Linked DNA regions of Ovis aries. The protein of the gene in region 1 purifies or fractionates together with the protein of each later gene. This does not show direct contact. Links are inferred from orthologs where the notes say so. Each region holds a gene or a part of one and is shown on either strand. Other genes may lie near its edges. The genes, in order: WASHC3 and CAPZB.

What was found.
Region 2: the proteins of WASHC3 (region 1) and CAPZB purify together in Homo sapiens (co-immunoprecipitation; 4 studies listed by BioGRID and IntAct, with this or other methods). This does not show direct contact. The link is inferred for Ovis aries from reciprocal best matches to the Homo sapiens genes WASHC3 and CAPZB.

What each region holds. Positions count from the first base shown.
Region 1 is NC_056056.1:171,453,429-171,457,252, reverse strand, and holds part of WASHC3 (WASH complex subunit 3), read left to right. Parts: intron 1-1,761; coding exon 1,762-1,869; intron 1,870-3,824. UniProt on the Homo sapiens protein: Acts as a component of the WASH core complex that functions as a nucleation-promoting factor (NPF) at the surface of endosomes, where it recruits and activates the Arp2/3 complex to induce actin polymerization, playing a key role in the fission of tubules that serve as transport intermediates during endosome sorting.
Region 2 is NC_056055.1:246,877,377-246,881,243, forward strand, and holds the start of CAPZB (F-actin-capping protein subunit beta), read left to right. Parts: upstream 1-783; 5' UTR 784-3,867. UniProt on the Homo sapiens protein: F-actin-capping proteins bind in a Ca(2+)-independent manner to the fast growing ends of actin filaments (barbed end) thereby blocking the exchange of subunits at these ends.

The DNA.
Region 1 (3,824 bases):
AACTTTACATGTCTCCAGAACAAAATTTGGAGAAAATCTCAGCTATTTTCCATTTGTAAATATATTAAATGCTAGTGAGTAGTACCAGTTCTGATGTCAGATATCACAAAAGGTAACTGTCATATAAAAGCAAAAATAGAAGGTTGTTTCAGTTTGAAAGCTTGCAGGTTTTGTGTGCTTTTCTTGTATATAAAATAATGGAGATGCTAATATATTTTTGTGACTTTGTTCTGTTATCAAAAAAAACTGACCTGAAAAAATATTTATTGACTATTTATAATCCATGGGCTTGCCAAGAGTTGGACACGACTGAGTGACTGAACTGAACTGAAGGAAGTGAAATTACTAATATCTTCTAGCATAGGGATCAGAATGTCTGATTTATGCTTTTACATCTTCCTGTGGTCTTCAGCTACTGTATTTCCCTCGGAACATTTCTTTAGCTTGTAATTTAGGATATTTGGCCTTGAACATGTTCAAAATAGTTTCTTAGCAGCCATACCCACTTGAAACTATTAGGGCCATAGCCAATGTGCTAAATACTGTCATCAGTCAACAGTTTTCAATGAATATTGTTGCTTTAGATCTTATTGCCATTGTTTTTTTCATTATTCTTTATTATGAATATGTATATTATTTTAATGTTTGTGGAATTCTTAAGTTAGAGTCCACGGTCACAAGTTAAGTTGCCATGTGGACAGGTTAACCTTAATTATTTCCATGACCATAGAGTTAATTCCTTAAAGTTAGCCAAACATTTGACAGATGTGTGTCACTGATACCAGAATGAAATCAGAAAAGAATGTTTGCATGGATCTTGGAAATCCAACCTAAAATGCTTAACCACTGACATCATGCTCATTTTTTATGTATGGAAACTAACACATTGTAGTAACATAAAGTGATATTACTAAAGAAAGAAGAAAAGAATAAGCTGCATCATATGTTAACATGTGGCAAGAGTTTTCTCATTTCCCAGATTATTCAAACTTAAAATGTGCTACAGAGCACATTTTGAAGGGGAACAAAATATATTTAATCAAAATCTTTTTACAAATTTGGGATGTAAGTTTTCTTATCCCCCACTGTACAGGTGAGAAAATTGAGGCCTAGGAAGATTTGCACAGGGTTACATATGTTGTCGGAGAAGGCAGTGGCACCCCACTCCAGTACTCTTGCCTGGAAAATCCATGGACAGAGGAGCCTGGTAGGCTGCAGTCCATGGGGTCGCCAAGAGTCGGGCACGACTGAGCGACTTCACTTTCACTTTTTACTTTCATGCATTGGAGAAGGAAGTGGCAATCCACTCCAGTGTTCTTGCCTGGAGAATCTCAGGGATGGGGAAGCCTGGTGGGCTGCCATCTATGGGGTCGCACAGAGTCGGACATGACTGAAGCGACTTAGCAGCAGCAGCAGCAACATATGTTGTGACTTAAACCTTGGCAATCTGACTCCAAAGCCCATGCTCTCATTCCTTACACCAGGATTCCTTATTAAAAAAATAATAATTCCTGAGAAAGAATGGTGACAACCTAAATTAGATTAGTGAAAAATTCTTCAAAAATATTTTATTTGTCAATCCCTTTCACTTTTAAGTAGTTTATGGCATGGAGAATTTCAACCAAAGATGAGATTTTATGAAACCACTTCTATAGCTTTAAAACTTAAGAAAACTATTTGAAACACAACACATACTTAGAAACTTACTCTTTAAAGATCTAATATTATCCTCATATACCAACATTAATTTTCTCCTCTCAGTTATCATCTATCCCGGGCCTAGATGATGTCACATTTGAAGTATCTCCTGTAAATGTCACTAGGATCACAAATGGAACACATTCTGAAGCCACTTCAGAGCAATCACAGGTATGTAATTAAGTTCCGGGAAGCATGAGCACCTCTTCTTGGGTGAACCAGATAGACCAAATCTGCAGGTTCAAATAAAGAAGCTAAATAAAAATATAGCACTTGATTAATAATATTTTAAACTTTAAGATAAAAAATACAGTTTGAAAAAAGTTATTAGCTTTTCATTTTATTATTCTGAACAGTTTCCTGAAGTTAATATTTTTCTTGCCTATAAAACAGAAATTTGACCTATACAGGACTAGGAATAATCTTGACTATAACTACTTTCTTCAAGTTCCCTCTGGAAATTTTTTTCTTGGTTCTTGTAAGAAATGTGTCTTTTAAATGTTTTAGTATGACATTTTCACACATGAATAAAAATAGAATAGTTCAATGACTAACCAAGTGCCCGTTACCTGGATTCACCAGTTGAGATTTTGTTGCATTGCTTCATCTGTCTTTTTTTGTCACTGAAGTGAATTCCAGGCATCATATCTTTTCACCCATGTATAATTCCCTGAGCATCTATGAAAAGTTCTGACATTTTCGTGTATAACCACAATGCCTTCATCATATACAATATAATGAGCAATAATTCCCTGATAATATCTAACTCTTTGTTACCAAAACTCTGCTCCATGGGCCAGCAACCTACCTGAGAACTTGTTAGAAATACAGAATCTCAGGTTCCACCCCAGACCCACTGAGTCAGAATTTTCATTTTAATAAGATCCGTATGTGATTTGAAGGCTCTTGAAATTTGAGAGGTCCTAATCTAAGAAATACCACTTGTCTCAAAGAGTGTGTTTGGGGAGTTGATTTGTTCAAATCAGCGTCCTTGTAAGGCCTGCACTCTATGTTTGGCTCTTATGTTTTAATGTTCATTTATGCACTGTAAAAATTTAAATTGTGTATTACTTTTTATTTCAAGAAATAAAAATTCTTCATTGTAGAATAATTGCTAGTATATCTCAGTGAGGTATTAAAATCCAAAATAAGATAATCAAAAATGGTGGTCTAACAAGTAATACCAAACAAACAGACTTCCTATGTATATGGAATTTTGCATTTGTACCTGGAGGTACTTTTTATGGGATATCTTTTAGATCATTATGATGTTGACTGTGATTGTAATACCTCCCATGTAAAGGTTTCTGACTGTATATGTGGTGTGTTAAGTGCTTTTTATAAATTAACTCATTTAATTCTCACAACAGCCCTATGAAGTAAATACTTTTATAAGTTCTATTAATACTTTACAGGTATATCAAATGAGATACACAGAGGTTAACTTGTTGAAGGTCAGACAATAAATGTAAGAACTAGAATTTTTACCCAAACAATCTGGTGTCAAGAATCCTATCTCTTATCTCCTACACTGCACTGTCTCTAGCACCTGTGTTGAATTCATAAAACATAACTCACTCCATATTCTTGCATGGAAAATTTCATGGACAGAGGAGTCTGGCGGGCTATAGTCCATGGGATCACAAAAAGTCGGCCACAACTGAGCAACTGAGCACATGTGGTCCAAGGCTCTGTGTGGGAGGAGCTATAATTTAGAAATATTGTATATTCGGTGGATGAATTAGATGACTGTTTACTTAACAGTTAGGCCTTCCCTGATAGCTCAGTTGTAAAGAATCCACCTGCAGTGCAGGAGACCCCAGTTTGATTCCTGGGTTGGGAAGATCTCCTGGAGATGGGAAAGGCTACCCACTCCAGAATTCTGGCCTAGAGATTTCCATGGACTTCTCTGGCCTAGAGAGGTCTATGGGGTTACAAAGAGTCAGACATGACTGAATGACTTTTGCTTCACTTCGCTTTACTTAACAATTAGGTATTAGAAAATTTAACATCCATTTAATTAATATAACAAATTCCATTGTGATGATCACTGGAATATATATAATATACAAAAATAAATTCAAATGTTTAGAGGAGTTTTAACTTTACAAGGTTTTATCAATTAA
Region 2 (3,867 bases), on another chromosome or scaffold:
CAGAGAGGAGGGCGCGCAGGAGGCGACGCTGCCAGAGCCGGCTGCCCTGCGGCCACAGGCGAGGCGCTGTGCGCGGGGTTCTGTCCCTCTGGGGTGCTCTGGTCCTGCCTGAGCCTGTGTGAGCAAACTCCTAAGACCCTGTGAGCTGGGTTTTCCTTGTGGGTTAAAACAGGGATGATAGTAATAAAGTCCACATGAAATTGAGAAGCTCCAGTAATAAAGAAACCGCAGTGCTCAGCCTTCAAGCGTGAAGCGCCAGGTCCCGGGGGGTGGGGCGGGGCGGTTCACACCCATTCCCTTTTCCAGTGGACAAATGGTCCCCGAAGGCCGGCAACGTTATGTCCACTTTACAAGGAGTAAACCAGACCCCTGAGAGATGAGGGTTCGTGCTCAGCCCAGCGCACCTCCCTGCTTTGCACTCCGTAAAGCTCTGGATGGTCGTAATCTGTCGTGCTGACCCTCTGGAGTTCTTTCTTTTTTTTTTTTTGGCCATGCTGGGCAGCACGTGGGATCTTCTTTTCCCGACTGACTGAGGGAAGTTGAACCTACGCCCCCTGCTTTGAAAGCACAGAATCTTAACCACCAGACCGCCAGGGAAGTCCTGGGGCTCTTCTTAACGCGCTCCCTGGAGAGTTTTGCTGCAAAGGTCTTCTAGAGAGTTGCAGAGTACATTGAACAAACTGATTTGAAATATATATGTCGAGTGCCTACTGCGTGCTAGCCATCGTTATAGGGACTCAGCAGTGAACGCCATGGACAAATGGCCCTCAAAGAGCACTCCTTTTTGTGTGCAAGGCTGACCAAAACAGACAAGTAGGGACTTCCCGGCTGGTCTGGTGGTCGGGAGGGGGCAGGGTTCCATCCCTGTTCAGGGAGCTCCCACCAGCTCCATGGCACAGCCAAAAAAAAACCCACTCCACACAAACAAGTATATATTATGCCTTGTGATGCTAAGTTCTGGGAAGCAGAATAAAACAGGGAAGGGGGATTTTATATCCAATGGCCAGAGAAGGCTCTGTGATGACAGCTGTGTTCACCACTCAGATACTGAGGTCTACAAGAGCATCATCTCCATAAGAACAGAGCCCTGGGGTCTTTTTGGTCCCTGTAGCGCCGGTCCCCAGCAGAAGTTCGGCTTCTCAGGAGGTGCTGAATGAACATTGGTTGAACAAGTGAATAAACAAACAGCCATCATTTCAGAAACCTCCACATCAGGGTAGGCACGGGGTTTTGGATTCACGTGCCATCAGCTGACTCTTAGGGAGAACCTTTTGTGTGCCAGCCTCCACGACCACAGAACAGCCCTTTCCTCTGAAGATCTTCGCTAAGGATGAGGGTGGTGGCCGCGGTGTTTAGCCAGTAGGTCAGGACGGACTCTTTTGCAACCCCATGGACTGTAGCCCATCAGATTTCTCTGTCCATGGGATTTCCCGAGGCAAGAATACTGGAGTGGGTTCCATTTCCTTCTCCAGCGAATCTTCCAGATCCAGGGATCAAAACCCATGTCTCCTGCATTGGCAGGCAGGTTCTTTACCCGCTGAGCCCCGACGGAAGCCCCCCAAATACGAGTACATGCATGCTAAGTCGCTTCAGTCATGTCTGACTCTGCAACTCCATCATAACCCACCAGGCTCCTCTGTCCATGGGGATTCTCCTGGCAAGAACACTGGAGTGGGTTGCCATTTCCTTCTCCAGGGGGATCTTCCCGACCCAGGAATTGAACCCAGGTCTCTTAAGTCTCCTGCATTGGCAGGCGGGTTCTTTACCAATAGTGACACCACCTCGCAATCTAACAGCTGAGAAGAGAGCAAAGAGAACAAGGGAAGAACAAGGGGTTAAGTGCAAAGAGTAAGAGTTTCAGGGTCAGGAAGGAGTTCAGCAAGTGTATTGCCTGACTTTTTTCTTTTTTTTTTTTGATGCAAAAATAGCTAGTTCTGCTTTTTGGACTGAGGCTCGCTGAGTCAGGGGTTCAAAGAGAAGACCATGAGGGTGGGAGTGGCCGATGTCATCCACAGCAGATGGTGATGCCCCAGAGACAGGCTGTGTCCTCCACCCCCTCTGGCCCAGGAATCAAGGTCGGGGCAGACAGCTAAGCTCAGCTCCCTGGGGACCCCCTCTCTGCCTCTCTACCGGGCCAGCCCATCCCGAGAACATCACCCTTGTTCCACCCTTGGACTCCACATCAGGCTCAGGAGAGTCTCAGAGGCCAGGGGTGTGAGAGGAATCGTTCCAGCATCTGTTATGAACCGTTATTTCCATTCCTTTGGCCGAGTTTTCTCCCGAGCCCTGAAGGCACTAGGTCAGCGCTGCTTTCGGCCCAAATGTCTGATGTCCCAGGCCTTCCTTCAGCCTCACAAAAGAAGGGGATGATTATTAAAAGAACAGACGTTGCATTCCATATTTACCCCAGATGACACTGCCTTGATCCCTAAAATAACTCCAGACCTCCTGGATGGAACTTGCTCGTTCTTTTTCATCTTGCTCTTATGCAACTGTTTATGGAGAACATCACCATAGTGATATCAGAGCGGGTCAAGTGAAACGCCAACCCCTTGGGTGGTTATTGGTTTCCCTTTGTAACTTGAAACATGACTTTTTCACCCCAGATCTACTCTTTCATTTCTTCTAAGCACTTCAGTTCTCCGCTCCAAGTCAACAGCAGTACTTTCTGACAGATTCCCAGCAGTTAAAACCACAGAGGTGGTCCACACTGGGGTGGGCGATGGAAGTACTTGGGCTGAGTTTCCAAACTGGAAACTATATTTACCAGAAATCTTTCCTTCAGATAAAACTCGGGTCAAAGTCTCAGAGTGCTGAAAGAGGCACTAAATAAACGGAAAGTCTAAAGAACCTTCAGTGCTTGCTCCAAGGAACAAGACTACAGCGTTCAACAAATAAACACAGCTGGCGCGGGGACAGCCTTTAGCAAATACTTATCTTCTTGATTATTTATTTTTTTTCATAATCATCATCTTGGCCAACAGCCCTTATTATAGCATTCTCATACGCTGTTGGTGGGAGTGTGAATTTAGAAGACTTTTCTAATAGAAAACTTGGCAATGGGTAGGAAAAGCCTTGACAGGGTGCTCTTTCTGTGAAGCAAATGTCTATTCATGGGTTCTGAGAAAATCATTAGGAATGTGAGCAGAGAAATTCATACAAAGGTGTTCATTGCTAATAGTGGTGGAAGAATGGAAAAAATCAAACGATACAACACGAGGGGATTGCTTTAAAAGAATCACTATTTATCCATACGATAGATACTAAGCCAGAATTACAAATCACACTACAGGAGACTCTTTAATAACGTGTAATACATTCACGATGTGTTCTCAGATAGGAAAAAAGCAGGTAACAAAAATGTGCATGCAATATGATCCCATTTTTGCGAAACATGTATGCACATGGAAGGGAAAAAGGGTAGAAAGATAGGTTCTAAAAAGATGAGCCGTGATTATTCCTTGGGTAATTTTCTGGTTTGGGTGTTGTATCTATAATTTTTACAATAAGCATGTAATTCTGTAGTCAGATGTTTAAAAAGCTATTTTAAAGAAGAATAAGCTGCCATGCCTTTTAAAATCACCTCTGATGGACTTTATGGGCAGAAACAGACTCTTAGTCTAAGAACGTCCTTGTATAAATCTCATAAGATAGAAAGTGCTCAACCATCTCTTGTTGTGGTTGAAGATAATGAACTGTACGGTACCTGGGGCCAATAAATATTAAGCAACTATGGGTTTTCCGCCTATTTAGAGTTTACCATCAGAGATGTACAAGGCTGGGTCTTCCCTGGTGGTCCAGGGGCTAAGATTCCACACTCCCGATGCAGGAGGCCTTGGTTCAATCCCTGGTCAGGGAACTAAATCT